Linked DNA regions of Drosophila melanogaster. The protein of the gene in region 4 interacts with the protein of the main gene of each other region in a pairwise test. Each region holds a gene or a part of one and is shown on either strand. Other genes may lie near its edges. The genes, in order: alphaTry, gNacalpha, CG10055 and CG11635.

Region 1 (4,212 bases), 3.0 Mb from region 4:
GGTTTACTGAAAATTTCACATGCAAAGATATAACTTTTACCACATTTACGAAATGGCAAAGGTGATTTCTACGACACGTAATTCCCAAAAAGTAGGTTAAGTCATAGAAGAGACAATTTTAATGGCCCATTAAAAGCACAAATTAGCACAAACGTCACCAATGCTACGTCGAGTTGGAAATACCCGTTAAAATAAGGGGTGGCTATATGAACGACCCTCTGCCAATCAAAATTTCTACTTAAAAATGGCAAATTTCAACTTTATTATGGAATTGATAATGGAACTTTTTATAAACAGCATTATCGGTTAAAAAATATGGCAAATTGTTTATTCTTTGCAATTGTTGTTGCGTTTAATTCACAAATATAAGAAAAAGAACAGAAGACAATCCATTCCTACCATCTATTCACACCGTCCAGTATTTCACCAGTCACGGTTCACCAAAACGTTCAACTTCGAGTGTCCAAATCTGTGCAATCTTATCTATTCATTTTTTTCCGGCTAATTAATCTTGCCACAGCTGTCCAGACCATCACTCAACTTATCAATGGAAGATGAATTGGAACCCTAGCCACGCGATGCACTCGAAGTTGATTAGATTGGTCCTGGACAAATGTTTACCTTTAGCCACTCGAGCCCATTGAAATCGGTGAAAATCACAGAAGGTGCGTTGAATTATCTTACTTTATGTGAATACCCGTGAACCCTACAAAAGATAAGACCTGTGACGCGGGCAACCTCGAGAACTGTTTCCCTATTGTTAATACGAAAGGTGTAATAAGTGGTATGTGTAATACATTCAACTTCCACTACTTTATTCTTTAGGCTTAACCACTAACTTAAACTACATAGAAGTAAATACAAAAGCTTTCTGTATATTTTGTAAACCCTCTTATGTTAAAGTACCCAGACCAAATACAAATCATCTATGTTCTGAATGGCAAATATTTATTGAAGGCTTTTGACACATCCAACCTACTGGGTACCAGCTTAGATGCTGTTAGCAGTGCTCACCACCCAAGAGCGGAGGACAGCAACATCGGCATAGACACCGGGGTAGTTGGAGTAAGCGCATCCGTATCCCCAGGAGACAACACCGACGAGGACTCCGCCGGAGACCAGTGGGCCACCGGAGTCACCCTGGCAGGCATCCTTGCCGCTGGCAGCAGCGCAGATCATGGTGTTGCGGATCTGGCTACCGTATCCGTAGGTGGAGGAAGCACACTGGCTCTGGCTAACGATGTTCACGTTCACGTACTGCAGCTGGGAGGGGATGGAGCTGGATCCGGACGACTGGGTACCCCAACCGGAAACGGCGGCAGAGGCTCCGTTAGCTGGGTTGTAAGTGGCCAGGCTAATAGCCTTGATGCTTGAGCTGAAGCTCAGGGAAGAGCTCAGACGGATGACAGCGATGTCGTTGACCATGGTGTTAGCGTTGTATCCCTCGTGGTTCTTGAAAGAGGAAACCTTGGCGACGACGCCACCAGAGCTCCAGTAGGTGGATCCAGCACGGACCTGCAGGACTGAAGCGGACACGGACTGCAGACAGTGAGCGGCGGTCACAATGATGTTGGCAGAGTAGATGGATCCACCGCAGGAGTGGCTGCCACTGCGCTGCAGGGAGATCTGCCAGGGGAAGCTGCTGATGGTGGTAGCAGAGCCGCCGACAATGCGGCCATCCAACTGAGGCAGGAGTCCCTCAGGGACGGTGCCTCCCAGGGCGCAGACCACGGCGGACAAGAGGATCACGATCTTCAACATGATGGGCGTTGCTAACAAGTGCTGGCTTACATGCCGCCCGTCCAACCTTATATACAGCCCACGCTACAATTCTTATCTAGCCGCAATTTCGAGGGCTTTACACCTGCGACGCAATTGGGCCCAAATAGAGAAACAGATATCAATGCTGATTCAATTGCGATTTATTTCAAGTGTTTGTCTGGCTTTACACCTCCTCGGCGGTCCTCTCGATCCACTCGTGGAAGTGGGCAACGTCGGCGTAGACACCGGGATACCTCACATCACCGCATCCATAGCCCCAGGACACAACACCGACAAGGCGGTCTCCGGAGACAAGTGGGCCACCGGAGTCACCCTGGCAGGCATCCTTGTGTGGGGCGTAGGCGCAGAGCATGGTGTCCTTGATCTTCTTTCCGTATCCGAACTCATCCGAGCGGCAACGCGACACATCGATGATCTCCAGATCAACGGCCAGCAGATGATCGGGAATGGTGCTGCCACCGGACTCGGTGGTGCCCCAGCCGGAAACCACGGCGGTGGCGCCCTCACGAGGGTTGGAGTCGGCAATACGGATCTCGCGAATGCTGGAGCGGAAGCTCAGATCGGACTCGATGCGAATAATAGCAATGTCGTTGACCATGGTGCGGGAGTTGTAGCCCTCGTGGTTGCGGAAGGAGCGAACGGAGTGGACACTGCCGCCGGAGCGCCAGTAGGTGCTGCCCACACGAATCTTCAGGTCCTTGGCCTCAATCGACTGCAGGCAGTGAGCGGCGGTGATCACAATGTCGTGGGAGTAGATGGATCCACCGCAGAAGTGTGATCCATAGCGCTGCAAGGACACCTGGTAGGGATGGGCGTCGATGCTGGTCTCATAACCACCGACGATACGACCATCCAACTGGGGCAGCAGGCCATCGGGAATGGTGCCAGCCAAGGCGCAGGCCAAAACGGAAAGAAGTACCGCGAATTTCAACATTTTAATCGTTTGTATGCTGATTCGCGGATCAAAACCCCTTTTATACAGTCCCCGCGGCAAATATCTCCACTTGATTGACAGCTGCAACTTCAGCATAATTGTTGCGTCATTTTCACCATCGATATAGGCGGTGATATTTAGAAATAATCAGCTTATCACACGACGACCACTCCACATCGTTATCCACTTTAACCACGAGGAATCTCACTTGTCCATTGATTAAACGCCTCCCGAGATAGTGACCCCCGATATAAGCACACTTTTCGGTTCGAAGAGTATCCATTCAATCGCACCATGCTGAAGTTCCTGATCCTGTTGTCGGCTGTAGCCTGCGCCCTGGGAGGCACCATCCCCGAGGGTCTCCTGCCCCAGTTGGATGGCCGCATTGTCGGCGGTACTGCTACCACCATCAGCAGCTTCCCCTGGCAGATCTCCCTGCAGCGCAGTGGCAGCCACTCCTGCGGTGGATCCATCTACTCCGCCAGGGTGATCGTGACCGCCGCTCACTGCCTGCAGTCCGTGTCCGCCTCCTCCCTGCAGATCCGCGCCGGATCCAGCTACTGGAGCTCTGGTGGCGTCGTCGCCAAGGTTTCCTCTTTCAAGAACCACGAGGGTTACAACGCCAACACCATGGTCAACGACATCGCTGTGCTCCATCTGAGCTCCTCTCTGAGCTTCAGCTCCACCATCAAGGCCATCGGTCTGGCTAGCTCCAACCCCGCCAACGGTGCTGCTGCCTCCGTCTCCGGATGGGGTACCGAGTCCTCTGGCTCCAGCTCCATTCCCTCCCAGCTGCGTTATGTCAACGTGAACATCGTCAGCCAGAGCCGGTGCTCTTCTTCCTCCTATGGCTACGGAAACCAGATCAAGAGCTCCATGATCTGCGCTTTTGCCAGCGGCAAGGACTCGTGCCAGGGTGACTCCGGTGGCCCACTGGTCTCCGGCGGAGTCCTCGTCGGTGTTGTCTCCTGGGGATACGGATGTGCTGCCGCTAACTACCCCGGTGTCTATGCCGATGTTGCTGCCCTCCGCTCCTGGGTGATCAACAACGCCTAATTATTTTTCGAAATAAATCATATATGAACAGTTTATGACGGTCGTCAGTTTATTTTAAAAGATGGTCTTAGTTAAAAATCAGGACACAGGGTTCACATTTTTAGATGGTAATGACTGTTCGAGTGCAATGACTATTAGATATAGTGAGTTGTGCAAGCAGTAAAGGGACTGCTTTTAGGACTATGGAAATTGATTGATTGGATTTAACTATCCCCATATTCTGTTAGAATGCCCTAAGGATTATTAGCGTGATTGGAATTGTAAACAACTAGGCATTATTAAGAAGCAAACTTGCGCAATGTAGTCGTAAATAAAACATGCATTTTTAACTACAACTTTAAAGCTCTATTAGTTTTCCAAGACTGTACGTTAGGCGGATAGGGAAATCTAGATCATGATCAAGAAGAATATGAATTTTATAGGCTCGATACGCATCATTC
Region 2 (4,784 bases), on a different chromosome or scaffold from region 4:
ACACAAAAGAAACATGTTAAATTCTTAAGACCAAGTGGATACAATGGCTCAGAACCGGACGATTTAATTGGAACAATGACTGCCGTTATCCCAAGCAATATATGGCTACCTAATATTATAATATTAAACAATGTTTCGTTCCGTTTTACAAGTAGTTCATTTCGAGAAAGTGCTAGACCGAATGATGTCATTAGGCATTTAACAACTTTCGCTGTTGTTGCCGCTTTCTCCGGGATTTGGTCAGCAAGGAGTGGAAATTGCCGACGCGGAAAGTACTTCAAAGTACCATTTGGATTGGGCAGTAAATTGCGCAGTACGGCTGCCGACTGTCAACTGATTTGTATTTCGGCAGCATCTTCAATTCCGCTGATTAAAGGGAGCCAACTTAATCAATTTCCGGCGGAGAAAGTTCCACGGAAAGGGAATGGAGCCCCAAGAACTTTCCATTCGAAGCCGACACGCGCGGGCACTTTCTACTCGCACTATATGAGTGTACAGAACGAAGAAGGTGAATGCGTCCCACCTACAAAGTTTCCATTTCCACTTTTCCGGCGAAAAAGCGGGCACGTGCTCAGCCGCACGGACTGTTGAGCGCCCACAATGCAAAACTAAAGCCTTTTTTACGGCTGCTGACGACAGCTGAAAATTAAAAAAAGTTCAGTTAGAGCCGGAGCTAGTCATTAAGTGGCTTTTGGGGCCAGAAAAGGGACGTTGAACGTAGTCGAGCCATTTAATTGAGTCAAATGTCCGCGGAGCAGGACTTGCGTAGCCACGTCACCAGCAGCGACGTCACCTGTCTCACCTGGGAGTACCCCTGAAATCCCCTGAAAGAGCTGAAACGCAATCACGGCGTCGTCAAAAATTCGCCAGCAAAAAATGCAAAGTCGAGTGCCGGGGGACTTCGCCAAATGGCTAAAAACTAAGTGCAGAGTAAACAAGAGTGCAGCGTCAGCGGCACAAAGAAAGAAGCGATTAAGTTTCCGCCACAGAGAAAATGTCCAAGAATGACGGTACCTGAAAGGAAAATTGCCAAAGTCTAGCGCTGATGGAAGAGCAAATACGAGTATAATGAAAATGGTTCGGGTTCGCATATGCGTTCTTCGCCCTTCGGAAAATGCTTTCACTGTGCCAAGATGGAAATGGTGGAAATGTCAATTCATTAGAAAATTGAAATAAGATGGCAATTTCGCTGTACAAAGGGGTTCTTCAGTGGGATTCTTCTGCTGGGACCGAAAACATTTTCAAAAACCAGGAAATGATCGGCATTTAATATAGTACGAGCTACATTGGCACCGGAGATTGTCATTCTTGTAGAACAAGCCATCCACCAGGAGAAGTGAAGTCCGAAAGGATTGTCTGGATTACATGAAAGTATAGTAAATAAAAACAACATGAAAGTTTACGATTTGATTGTAATCATTTAATTACCATTAATTTCTATGGCGAACATGGATGTTATTGAAATTCTCTTTATTTCATGACTTTGAATACAAAGGAGCCACTCAGAGCGACTTAACCCACAGTCAGGGCCATGATGGCATTGACCACATCGTTGTCGTTCTTCAGCAGCGCCTGGATCGCCTTTTTGCGCGAGCACGCGGCCTGCATCTGTACCAGTTCGATGTCCTTCGCATGTAGGCCCATGGCATCCGCGTCCTCGCCATCGTTCTCGTCGTCGTCGTCGTCGTGTGGGGACTCCTCGCCAGGGGCTTTTCCATCCTCGTTACCTTGCCGCCCGGCAGGCGAGGTTCCACGGAATCGCTCGGCCGCCTTGACAGCTGCCTGGGAGGCGACGGACGTGGTGCTAGTGTCCTCCACGCAGATCTCCCCAAAGAAGATGTACGTCGACGAGTGCGCCACTCTGTAGACGTCCGGCTGATCGATGTACAAGAGGATGTTCTTGCCCTTCTTCATGGTCACTCGGGCCACGTTCTCCATGGGCTTCAGGTCCAGCTTCATGAGGATCCGGCGTGCCTTCCGCTCGCCGCGAGACTGCTTTGATACCTCACGTGTTCGCACGGCCACCGTACCGAGTTGACCCTGCTCGTCCGGTTGGGTCTCCTTGGGATCCGCTTCCACGAGATCCGGGGCGTCATCGGAGTCCGTGCTCTGATCATCCTCAACTACGCAGGATTTCGCGGCGGAGGCGCCCTCCTCCTTCTGCGAGTTCGGCAGACTGAACACATTGGGCGGCAGCTGTTTGGCCAGGCTCATCAGCTTCTTGATCTTGTTGCGGTAGGCCGGGTCCATTTGACCCATGATGTGGGGCTTCCCCTTTGCGCCACTAAAGCCTGCCGGAGGTTTATTCTTGACATCCAAGGCGTCTTCCGAACTGGAGATCTCCTTCTGAAGTGCCTTTGCGACGTTTGGTTTTTGCGTTGCCTTGGGCTTCCCTTTTTTTCCACTGCCACTTGGTGAGGGAGAGGCTTCTTCGGCAGGCTTTTCTTTGGCCACCACGTTGTCGGCAGCGGTCTTCGATTTCTCGGCAGCGGTCTTCAATTTCTCGGCAGCGGTCGCCATCTGGGCAGCCTTCTTCATTTTCTGCTTCTTACCCATCTTGAGGAATAAACAGCAACTGAGGGATTTGCGATCACAGATTTGCGAGGACAACTTCTCCAAAAAAATTTCCAAATTGGCAGCGCACGTGGTGTGACCTCTTGCGGGAAAGACTTGACAGGAAATATCAGAGGTGAAACTTCCAGTGGCTTGACAGCTGGTGTTGCTCTCTTCGATAAGTGCTGTTGCGAAATTTGGTATACTTATCGAAAAGTTTTTTCATAATGAAAACTGGAAATTTTTTATGCTAATGGCACCTAAATAGCGAAATAAACAATATCAAGTGTTGCTTTCGGAAAGATTATAAGTTTTTAAAATGGCCACTCGGCCATTCGAACATGCAGAGCACGCCTAAGTCTATCGATATCGATAGGTCCCAGTGCAATCGTGAACTGATTATAGGCGTTAGCAGCGCTGCTCTGAAGAAAGTTGGTATTTTTCAAACGAGAATGTCAGCTGCCTTCGAACTGTGCACTTAATTTCGCGGTTATAAAAGTTTTGCTGCAGCGCCTCGCAAATTCTATCGAAATTGATGATTGCAAATCAATCCACTGCAGTGACGTGCTTGAAAATTTTCACCTGACAAAGCCAGTTTAAAAGTGGTGGAGAAATGAAAAGTTCAGCGGTTATTTGGGTAATATTCGAATATGCAAAGTCGTAAAACTCGGATGCCCGGAAAATGCCAAAGACCTGAATCTGAAGCTGGTTCCTCCGTGTTAATTGCTGTCGTGGTCGCACCGCAGTCTGCCTCCAAAGCGGAGCAGCCCCACAAACACGACGCGGTGGAGCAAGCGCGGTTACACGTGCGGTTTTCCTTGCGGTTTTCCGGCTCCCGAATTTCCCAGATCAGGCGGTTCAGGGCGGGGCTGTGTGATCCTGTTTTGCGTTCTGCGTGTGGCGAAAAAACACTTGCTAAGTGCATTAAAAAAGTGCCACGCCCTATTAGGGCGCTCTTCGTGTTACGGAAATTACATCACAATTCGAGACAACCGTACAATAAGAATATGAGCACGTATGGATCAAATCCCCAATGGAGTTAACATAACATTTAGCATAATTTTCATGAATTCTGACCTTTCCTATTTCCTACATAACAGGTATGTGGTAATCGGGAGCATGTATTGCATTTTTTCTGCAAGCCGCTGCGCTCTGTCTGATGATGCGTTTTTAATTGCTCGGTTCTTTTAATTAAAGTTCGAGCGAAAGAAGGGCGTCCACCACCTGCAATTATTAAACTTTATCGTGGGGTCAACGCCTAATTGAGTTGCACAAATTATTCAGGAGAGGCGAATGAAGCAGCAGGAGGAGGACTAGGAGGATGTGGAGGGCAGGAGACCGAGGATGCATCCGGCTGCCGCCGCAGAGTCTGTCCTGTCACCATAATTAAATTCGAGAGGCCAACTAATCAGATATTCCCTTTGCCCAGCCATGAGTCCTCGCATCTTAACATCTCGGTCGATTCGATTCAATGTTGCTCGGTTAAGTTAAGTTCTGCGCGGACTTGGAACTCGGAGACCCGGAGAGCCGGAGAAGGGTGAAAAGTTTTTGGGCGTCCTGGCACGTTCGTCCCATGATTAATTATCCGCCCCATATGCTGCGGTGTCATCTGGGCCCATCCAACTTATTGGGGCTTAGTCTTAGCCTCGAAGTTTAGTTTCTGCTGCCACGGCCTGTGCATGAAAAATGAACCCAATTCGGAGGCCCACCAGGACGAGGTCTTCACTCTCCTTCAAGGCAACGAGGCCCACAGAAGCCGCTTTCTGGGGGCAAAAATCTGTAACGCATTAATCATGCAAGTTTCGAGAAATGATTGAAATCATATTACCATGTCGTAGACATGTTATAACCAAAGATGTTTCCGTAATTGAGATCTTGGCCAAGGCATTCATATTGTGCCTGCTCGAGAGTCTCCTCTTCCCGCTAATGAATTTCATTGCTGATTGATGCTTATTTGGCTTAATTCTATTGTTGTAAGTGAATCAGCAGTCTTTGCTAGGAAAACTATTTATTAAAGGAGTTTGTTTTAGTGAGTTTATAGTGAGTCTGCAAATTAGTTTCGAATAGCACCAAGTTTTTATACATCCTGATGCCGTAGCAAATTTGTGGACATACTGTTTGCACTCCCAATAAAGTAGAAACCCAATTTGTTTTTAGCGTTGACAAGGTCATTTCACTTGGTACCTTGTTCGCTTGATAATTTGACGTTTATTTTGTCGATGGGCCAATCT
Region 3 (5,989 bases), on a different chromosome or scaffold from region 4:
CGTGAACACACAACTGGTTTTATCATAGGACAAAAGTTGTTAACAAAAGAAAATAGAGAAAATAGGTAGAAGAAATATATTTCATGCTACCTGCTGACGTCTTGTAAAATGTACGGACTGACTTTTAACTCAGGTTTAATTTATTTAGACTTTTGGTAACTGAATTGAGCATAACGTTTTGGATAAAGTAATCAACTTGAATAAACAGCACATGTGGCCAAATTTTGGGTTATATTGGAAATTGGTTTGCGGCAACTGCAATACAATGTTTATGTGACAAGTAACGCCCCACAATATTGCCCTCTTTTATTCCCATTTACTCGTAGCCATATCTGATGAGTCATCTGAAAAGTGCCAACAAGCTAAATAAAAGGGGGTCAAAATGCGAGCAAAACTAGCCAAAAAAACAGATTCCAACGGGAATGAATGTCGTTAGGATATGGAGCTCTTTAGAAGTATTTGCAAAATTCAAACGTGTAAGCAAATCCAGCAAATTAGGGAAGACTCTTGCATAAATTTAACAAGCAATGACACCGTGACAAACACAATCCCTGCTTTCGTAGGCGTTTTAAGCCATTCAAAGCCCCTACAAACACACGTGCACCCGTGGGAAAGTGACGTAACATTAGAGAGAGAGAGAGAGTGTGTTGGTAGAAAGAGAGGGGAGTCCAATCAATGACGAACGGAGTCCACAAACACCAGCAGCTGAGCCACAGATGCAATTTGAGGGTGGTGGTTTGTGTTTGTGGGACTTTGTGGACCGTAATCAGTGGTTTCGTTTTCAGAAAACTTTGTGATTTATCGCACAAAAACAAAAGGCACGTGAAAATGGAGCGAGGAAGCCAAGAAACCCGAACTGGTTGCATCTGAATGTTGTTGCTAAATTACTTTTGCAGCGTACTAACTGTGCCGATGGTTTTTATATTTAGGCTACATTTAAATTTTTTATTTTCTTTGCTAATTTGTTAGGCACTCCTTACTTTAGTATATTATTCATTCCAATTTTTATTATTATTAAAATTTAAGTTAATTTCTAAACAGATTTTATTGCGACTTATGTTTGCAAATAAAAATAAATTAATTTTAAAGCGTTACAAAGTAACAATAATATTTTCGTGTGTTTGATGGGTACATTTCCACTAGTAGCACAAGGCTGTGCCTCTTTTCTCTCTGTGTTATAACAAGGAAATGTAACGGTGATTTACGCAATGAAAGACCAAGAGAGTGGGCAAGGGAAAGAGATAGACAGGGCAACTCACAGTCCAAGTGCTTCTTCTTCGGGCCAATGCATTCCTCCGTGGTGGCCTTGCAAACGGACTTGGCGAGTCCTTGGCCCGCAAGGCTGTGACGGGCGGCCAGCAGCCTGTCGTTGATCGTTTGCCCTGCCATGGTCATGATGAAGCTGTTGCTGTTGTTGTTTCTGCTGCCGCTCGCTGGTTTTTATTTACTTGATTAATTTAATTATGCACCAAAGGAGCTGACCACACCGACACACACACACACTCGAAAGCAGATACAGAGAGAGGGAGAGAGAGACACACACACACACGCGTATGGGGCGAGCGAGAGACAGAGAGGTATTGATTGATTGAGAATATTTCGAACGGGAAAACTCTGCTATGCGAGCCTCACGATTAAACTAACAGTAAAGATTTAGTGGTTCCTACGTCACAATCACTACACAATTTATCGCCGCGGTTTATGCGCTCTCTAACCGGTGCCTAACGCTGAAACGCGATTTTTTAATTCTCTATTTTTCCTCTGCCACAAATCGATAATGGCGACTGGCAAATGGAGCGAGCGTATGAGCAATGTCCTAAAGCGTCCACAAAGTGGAGCTAACGCGTGCAATCGACTTGAGTTTACGGCGTTAGGTGGGAAAATATCGATTGCCATAACGTAAGCGAATACGAAATAGCTGAACTTAGCTTTTACGATGTGTTCATATAAGTTCTGAAAATAAAAAAAAATAATGATAAATAAATAAATAAAAATATAAAATATTAAGATACTATAAATAAATCTTTTTTTATAACTTAGCACTTAAAATTCCCCAACAGCAGTTAAAAAGTAGCTAGATTTGTCGGAAGTGTAGCCAAACGTAACGTAAGCTAAGGGGCTGTCAACAGGAATTTTTAGTTTCGAGTAGGCGGTCATACTGGTCATTAAAATAAATAAAATTATACTAAAAAACAGTAGTTAGCACAATCAACAGTCTCGTAATAAAATTGTAAGATGTTGAATGGACAGATTGCACACAGTTATTTGGAGAACTCGTGCACGCTGATCATACCCCGCCCGCCTGTCCTGAATCAGTCCTCAAAGTCGGCCCAGCCAGCAGCAGCTGCTGCTGCTTCTTCTTCCGCTGGTGAGGAGTTTGGTCAGGAAGCGGGGTCGGGGTTGGCGGAAGCGGAGGCGTTGCATGTGGATCGCATAAGAAACTGCGATATATTCGTTGACGCGCACGATCTTTATTTCTACGCAGATGTTAAGCTGTACAAGTGAGTCACATCCGGCAATCTGTCGTGCCCATGGTGGGCCATGGTGGCGAAATTCCAGCGATATCATTGCGTACTTGTACTCCCTTTTCGGACAGATTCCACAGCCGTCGCACCTTCGACTTGCGAGAGCTGAAGACGCTGTTGATAAAGTTCAACACGACAGAGAATCACTACCAAATTTGCCTGCGCTGTCTGCCCCTAACAGCGGGTGCCCAGGAAGGACCCGGTGGAGAAAGAGGCGGAGGCGGTGGTACGGGGGATGCAGCCAAGCAGTGGAATAGTCGCAAAGAGTACATAGCCGCATTCCTGCACCTACCCACACTGAGTGCCAATTTGCCGGACAAGCAGCCTCTGGTGCAGGAATGGAAACTCAAACGAATCACCGATCAGTGCCAATTGCAGCTCGACGACCACGAGCGCACCTACAAGCTGACCAACAATTTTGGGTACGGCTATGCTAGCGAATACAGCGGACCGCTAGACCTGAGTGAGGTGAGTTCAATTGGTTAACCTGCTCTTCCGCGCACTAAACACAGATGTTTTCACAGTTGGACAGAGCCACGTGCCGCGTGTCGGAGCCACATCGCATGAGCCCCATCCAAAGGCGGCAAGAGCGCGTGGTCGATGAGATGAAGCGCTTTTCCCGCGAGCAGTACAAAATAAATTTTGTGGAGCTACAGGTTCCGTCCGGTCACCAGAATCCTTTACGCTACAAACCGAAAATCTACGAGACTTCCATGACCCAGGAGCAAGCGCATCTGCTGCACAACATCAGCCGAATGCAGACACGGGAGCAGCAGCCGTGCGACGTTTTTCGGCAAAACGAGATCGATTGCGGGCTGATAAGCATTCTGTTGGCCATATGCTATGATGTGCGGACGACGAACAATGAGCCGACGTGTGAATCGGGCTGGACGCGAAGCATACTGTGCCCGCTTTATTGCTACTTTGAGCAATTCGACAACTATCGGGACGTACTGGTTGCCTTCCTGCGGCGAATGATCACCTACCCGCTGTACCGCAATTTCGAGTTGGGCCGCCAATGTGTACGGGATGCCATAGAAGTTTTAAAGGGCGGTCGCAACTGGTTAATTAATCAGCTGCTGCTAACGCACCAGCAGTTCGCCAGCAGTGATCCCAGTCGCGATAGCTTCAACAACTACTATTTGGAGGACTATATACGATATGTGACCAGCCCGAGCGCCTGCAGTGATGAGCACATGCGCCTTCTTGCCCGCAACCTTAAGAACGTGCTGATGGACGTAAACAAGCAACACTTGGGCCTGGGAGTGACCGAGATTGAGACTGAGCTGATCAAGGAGCTGATGCAGGAGATGCGCATCGATGCGGGAAGCCAGGGTTCCTCGCCGCAGCAGCAGCATGGCGATGATGACTTGGACCTTGATAACGATACTTCTGGACAGGAGGACGAGACTACCACTGATGATGAAAGCGTCATAACTGACTCCTTCTACAGCGTGGACATGGACATGCGACTGATAGAGAACGAAATTGTATATGAGGATGACGAGGAGGACGAAGATGACGATGAAGATGGAGATGATGATGAAGATGGGGATGGGGATGAGGATGAGGATGAGGATGAAGACGAAGACGACAGCAGTTCTTCCACAACCACCAGTAGCGAGGCGGAGGGAAACAGCGTCATCGAGCAGTGCAGCAACAGTGAGACAGCAGCCAGCACCACATAAATTGCCACTTATGTCGAGTTCGGCAAGTCCTGCTCCTGCCTTGCCCAAAACAAACAAGCAACACAACCAACTTAATGTCAAAGAACGGAGGCTAAACAGTGATTACTTTTAAAATTAAAACAAAGTAAAATACGAAACTAAAAACCAAGCCAAGTAAATGATGTAAGTTTACACAAGAATACCCAAAAAAGAAGAACTTCTTATATCTTAATTGTACAATAATTTAACGAAAAGCAAACTCAAAGATTTGTTCACGCCAAATGCGAAAAGATATTTGAATATTTTTTCCCCTTTGCTCTACAATTACTTCGATTATAATTACACATACAAGTAAATCAGAACTTTAGCATTTAGTATGGCATTAGAGTATGAAACATTTGAATTTTGAATTCTGAAAAGCGAAATCTAGTTGTGCATTTGTATATACATCTATCGATATTGTTGGTGCTGCAAGCAAAGAAAACAAAATATGAATAAAATAAAATGGAAATGGAAAACAACCTCCAAACTTATCTACACAGTGGGCAAAAGTCATTAATGATTTACATGTTAATGTTGTATGAGTGTCTTATAAAAAGAAAGACATGAAGTATGAACGAAAATTCTAATAAAATGGATAATACATATTTTTTTAAAAACATCGCGACATGAGTTCTTTATTATTTTATTCTTCGTATCAACCAAGCTGTCGTTTAAAAAAGTGACAAATAGGTAGGTAAGCTTTTTGAAGGAGAAGTTATTTTTCATTTTACTTACAAACATTTAAGTATCAGTATTTAAAATGCATATAAAACATACTGTTACTTTTAGTACGCTTAAATCAGAAGATCAGATACTTTGTATCTTCAACACAATTTTGATGGTTCAATCCGATAAGAAAAACATTTGCTTGGGTTTTATTATCTTTTCTTTATTTATCCATACTCACATACATACATATATGCATATCTATGTACGTTTTAAAAGCTAATTTAAATATTTATGGACTGTTAATTGAAGAACGCATCGTATTGCTGGTGCTGCGGATTCTGTTGATGCTGATGCGCCCTTTAATTACGATTAGTGTAAAGCTACAATTTACAAGTTAAACTAACTAAACTCGTATGCATTTTGAAATCGCCAATAGAATCGATACGCCCAGCGAGGCCAATTTGAGTTGTGGAGCTGTTGTCAATTGGTTCTTCTATAGGGTGTCTGCTTCTGTCTCAATCTCTCTCTATTTACACAAGTCACAAATTGTTTAACAAAAGGTATGTGCTTTTAGATTACTTAACCACTACATTCAACATGGCGGCCATTTCGATTTGAACAAATTTTTTGATATTGCGCCGGTTTCAGAAAATTGCTTGCTCCATCTGATTTAATGTGATTGATTCAGGATTTTCCTTTACTGACACTGAGTTATTCTTCCACATCCATTTCCTTCAATATTTACAAGAATCTGCTTTAACTCTAGTTGCTTTTTAGGGCATTGTGCGCCATTTACAGATCTGGAATTCAAGATCATAGCATCAGAAACTCTATCAGAAAGTCTATTGGGATTTTGAGATTTACTTACTCATAGTCTCCTGTTGGATCTCCACCTTGTATGAGGGATTATCGTAGGCAGCGTCGCTTTTTCGTGGTGGCGTAATGGATGCCGTTTGATGAACTCGTCTCCTGGTGATAATAAGTAGCAGGGCCAAAGTAGACATGATCGCCAGAGCGGCGATCACAGAAACCACCACAAGGGGGCCGTAGTAATCGCCTACGGGTTGGTCCGTTCCCGCCGTTAGG
Region 4 (4,477 bases):
AATGACGATATAACTGCATCCTGGGGCTGGAAAAATGACGAGCTTGACGTGGAGCAATTGGCAGGACTACCAAGTCCTAATGAGGTGGAGGATCCATACCGGCAGCCAAACAATGAATCTCAGGATGATCAGTTGCCATTCGCTGAAGGAGACCAATCAGGAATTCAAGAAGAATTACAATTCGCAAGAACGCGCTCCCTGCGAGAACAGCTTGTCAAGAATCAGGCGTCCCAAGAACCTTTTACCAGCTTTGAGAAAACATCTCTCACATCCGTTCGAAGGAATGTGGACTTCATGATGCAAGAGCTTAGTCAGATTTCACTTATTTTGAATACTATGGGAGGAGGTGAAAAAACAATGGGGATGGTTAACTCTGAACCGGATGTGGCTTCCTTTGCACTCAACCAACCCAAAATCAGTGAAAGTTTGAATCATGAGGAGGAATCAAATCAGTCAGTGGATAGAGCTAGTTCCCATCAATCTGAGCTAGGTGTTGCAGATTCTATGCATTCGGAGGTAGCCAGTGCGCTCTCAGAACCATCTGGATTGGGTGATGTAGAGAGCCTAGATCATAGCGAGATTTCGAACCAGTCTTTTGATTCCGAACTAACGAGGGATATCACCGATCAACTTAAATTGGATCACGAGATGGAAGCAAATCAGTCTTTGGATTCTGAGTTAACCGGTGAAATAACTAATCAATCTAGTTCGGTAGTTTCAGAGTCTTCGATTTCCGATGAGGACTTCGGGGAGGAGCTAATAAAACAATCTCACAAAATCGAGCAAATTGCGTCTGCTGGCGATACTCAAGAGTCCAGTCCTTCAAAAACCAATGAGAATACTCCCAAGACTGATGACACGCAGGACACTCAGCCTAAGGAAACCATACACACCTACAGGCCCTTTAGGACTATCGAAGTTCCTGCCAAGAAGCCTACTAGTAGCCTTAGCACCGAGTCAATTGAAGAGCAGCCGTTGAACCAGGAACCCCAATTCGGCACAGGTATCCATTTAGATAGAGAACGGTACAAAGTTTCTGCTCAGCTGACCGAGTCCGAGTCCCGCTTACTTATGCGCATGGCTCTGAAGCAGGCTTTAATCGATCTGGAGTCTGGCCAAAGCAAGTACAAAGCAACAATTCTGGAGGCTGAAACCGAGTAATACAAGAGCACCAATGACCAAAGAAATAAACATAACCTTTAAAACTTATTTTTTATTTTTATCCTTGTTCTTATCTTTCTTCTTATCCGTGCCCTTATCCTTCTTATCCTTTTTCATCTTCTTGAGCATGTCTTTTCTCGCCTTCTTGGCCTTTTTTATGGCACTGGGACAGACGTGGTTCTCACCATGAATTTTGACCCACTGACGACCCCGCTCCGCTTCGCAGAGGCTCAGGGGGAATCGGCACTCGCACTCGCGAGGTCGATATGGTCGCTTGGCCAGCTTAGGCTGCTTACAATCCGACCAGCAGGGCATCGGTGCACACAACCTGCGGCAGCAGGAGGGCGTCTTGGCCGCGTGGCATCTGGGCGGACGACGTCCTGGCACGCATCGTGCCAACGGAGCGAAATGGGGACATGGTCCTGTGGCTGTGGCACTGAGCGTTGTCCGCTCGCGCCGCTCGGCCACCCGACGGGCGGGGCTCAGAGCCTCCAGCTTGTCGTAGGCGCAGATTATCTTCTTGCGGATCATGAACTTGGGGCACTCCACCCAGTGGCGCTGGTAAGGACCGTTCTTGCAGGAGGGACGGTAATACAGCTCGTCGAATGAGGGCAGTGGTTTGGTGCAGTTGGGTTCGCAGCACAAGTCATTTGATCGGCTGACCACGAAGGGGTACGGCGGAGGCAGGTTCTTCGGCGGATCCCACATCGACTTGAACTTATCCCCTTCGGCGCAGAAGGCGGCCGGAATGCAGTGCGTCCGGATCTTGCATTCTCGTTTGGCAGAAGGAGACTTTGGTGGAGATGGTGACGATGGTGGCTTCGGTGGACTTGGAGGTTTTGGGGGTTTATTCGAGGAGCCGCTCTGACGTGAGCTGAAGCCCCTTAGTAGGGAGGACCAAAACATTAGCCGAAACTTTTAATGAAAGTGGAATTTTGAAAATTTTTGTATACCGTAACGCCGTTACATGAATCGCTAAATTAAAATTTTTTGCTTGGTATCCGAAATTTCGATCGAGGCCTACTGGACGAAAAAGAGCTGGTTGAAAATTGGAGAAAATCGGAAGAGGGTCCTGTCGCACACATTCACTTCTCCTGCAACTCAACTTCAATGCAACGGCGACAGGCAACACAAAATTGCAAACAGCGGACTGCGCATGTTTAAATTTAATTGAACATTTAGCCAAATTAAAATGCATTTTATTACGCAGCCGCTGTTTCTGGCCTGGAAATGCAAAACAACGCGCGCCCAATCAGCCAGGCCAAGTCAAGTAAATCCAGCGGAGTTGGCCATACGCGCAGATAGACGGAGGAAAAGGCAGGCCACACTGGAAGAAATACAATAAACATATCCAGAATTCGCATATCTACTCAGTTCAGATAATCAACTCGAGATAAATCCATCCACGATGATAAACAAACAGTAACAAGAGTATTGAATGTATACTATTCGTCCGTATTGGTTGCAATTTTTTCCAGTGTAAAGACACAGGCACGGCCAAATCGAAAGACGCTGACTGGGCCTAGGCACGCAACGGTTATTCAGTTTTGTCGGTTTTTCGATTTGGCCTTAAGTTGGCTAGGCAGTGCCTATGCGAAATTTGGCACAGATTCGCGGCAGATTCGATGCTATTCGGCTGGGATCGGATCGGATTTTGGATTGGACCGAGGCGGAACTGCGAGTTGCAAACTGGTTGGAGACAGGCCTAGCAAGCATGCGTTCTGCAATTGTTTAATAGCCTAATTAAGTGTGCGAGCGAACAGGTTGGCCAGGCCGGGAAAGTCGGAAAATCAGAGAATCGGAAAAGTCGGGCATATGCAAAGCCAAAGGAGCAGAGCGACTGTCATGCTTCACCAAGAGAGATGTGATGTGAAGTGATGTGACGGGACAGTGACTGCCATGCGGGTGGTTTGTCAGCTGCTAATGCCAGTCTGTCTTTATTTTCCTCTTTCTATTTTTTACTCCTTGTTCTGGCTTGCAATTACATTTGGCTGTTAATTGCATTATGCATATTTATGGTAGCTCTCCGGCTGCAGCTCCTCCCCCGGCAATCGAGTTAGGTCCGGAGCAGGATCAGGAGGCAGAGATGAGCAAGGAGCAAGGGAAGCAGACGGATCCGGCGACAATGCCGGCTCATTAGCATACATCAGCGCGTTAAGCTCGGAGCGAGTGTCTGACTGAGTTACGACCAGCTTTCCACTGTCTGCAGCTGCCGTCATCATCACCATCGCCATCGCCATCGCCATCGCCATCGCCATCATCATCTTCCTCGTAGTCATCGTCATCCAGTGAGTGGCTTAGTGGGTGTTGCCCTCTAATTTAAATTAAAATATGAAAAATACTCAACGAGTGAAAAGGGGTTTGGTTGCGAACAAAAACATCACGCTGCGAAAACTGAGAAACGTGCAGAAAAATCAAATCTAAAATAGCTGCTGGACATGGCATAATCAAATTGTGCGCACTGGGAGAGTAGGGAAAATCATATTTGCCAGGAGATTGTTGTCGCTGTGTGTGCAGCTGCAACTAATTATATTATTAAGATTTAAGATAATTTTTTATGCTTCTGCATTTCACAGATAAAATGAAACCAAAAAAATATAGAATAAGGCATATAGAAAGGTATAGCTCATATTTCAGGCACTGGCAAATAAATGGCAACATATCACACCATATTATAGAATAAACACAAATTGTATGATTCCAGCAATTTTCATAAAATATGTATATCTCTGTATATCCCACACACTAAATTCCTGGCCTGAATTACTCTTCACTGCTTTTGCTCGCCAACACCCAAGGTATTTTCACTGGAATGTCCAAAAGCCATGCTCTCAGTCGAAGTTTTCTTGGCTCAAGAGTGCGTGGGGTTCCTAGAAGTAGCGGAGAAAGCTGAGCGACTTGGCTAGGAGACATTCGGCCAAATGGAACCTTCTGCTCGCCTGGTGGGCCCAAATGCTGCGACGAGAGAGTGCGAGGATGCCGGAGAGGAAGTTGGTGGCACGGAGCAGAGCACGCGAGCGTAATTCGTCCAAATGGCCATAATAAATAAATGTGCCATTAGCCCGGTCGCAAAGTCCGCCTAAATCTACACATGCAGAAATACTAGACGGCAGTCGTATATCAATAAGCCAACGGGCGGACGAAAACTTTCTAATCGCAGTATAATTGCAGGGGACCAACAAAAAATATTCGTAAACCGCATTAAGAAAGAAAAAAGGAGGGGAAATACACGCAGCATTAGCCACAACTAACATGACATGCGCCAAATTATGCTGCCAATTTCGCAGGTGGGGAGCGTAAGTCATGCAAAGCGAAC

What was found.
Region 1: the proteins of CG11635 (region 4) and alphaTry interact in a two-hybrid assay, tested with the Drosophila melanogaster proteins (one large-scale study listed by BioGRID).
Region 2: the proteins of CG11635 (region 4) and gNacalpha interact in a two-hybrid assay, tested with the Drosophila melanogaster proteins (one large-scale study listed by BioGRID).
Region 3: the proteins of CG11635 (region 4) and CG10055 interact in a two-hybrid assay, tested with the Drosophila melanogaster proteins (one large-scale study listed by BioGRID).

The regions. Positions count from the first base shown.
Region 1 is NT_033778.4:11,343,332-11,347,543, forward strand, and holds alphaTry (alphaTrypsin), read right to left. Parts: upstream 1,789-4,212; 5' UTR 1,762-1,788; coding exon 991-1,761; 3' UTR 929-990; downstream 1-928. Other genes in the region: epsilonTry (epsilonTrypsin), read right to left, coding at 1,946-2,716; betaTry (betaTrypsin), read left to right, coding at 3,011-3,772.
Region 2 is NT_033779.5:1,035,151-1,039,934, reverse strand, and holds gNacalpha (germinal nascent polypeptide-associated complex alpha subunit), read right to left. Parts: upstream 2,690-4,784; 5' UTR 2,557-2,689; coding exon 1,513-2,556; 3' UTR 1,429-1,512; exon of another isoform or gene 1,402-1,428; intron 1,357-1,401; 3' UTR 1,250-1,356; downstream 1-1,249.
Region 3 is NT_033777.3:7,182,818-7,188,806, reverse strand, and holds CG10055 (uncharacterized protein), read left to right. Parts: upstream 1-2,133; 5' UTR 2,134-2,235; coding exon 2,236-2,501; intron 2,502-2,596; coding exon 2,597-2,993; intron 2,994-3,049; coding exon 3,050-4,213; 3' UTR 4,214-4,706; downstream 4,707-5,989. Other genes in the region: lap (like-AP180), read right to left, coding at 1,260-1,395; sas (stranded at second), read right to left, coding at 5,696-5,703, 5,772-5,989. UniProt on the Drosophila melanogaster protein: Required for the quantitative accumulation of H/ACA ribonucleoproteins (RNPs).
Region 4 is NT_033778.4:8,356,197-8,360,673, reverse strand, and holds CG11635 (uncharacterized protein), read right to left. Parts: upstream 2,137-4,477; 5' UTR 2,068-2,136; coding exon 1,207-2,067; 3' UTR 1,202-1,206; downstream 1-1,201. Other genes in the region: spaw (spacewatch), read left to right, coding at 1-1,161.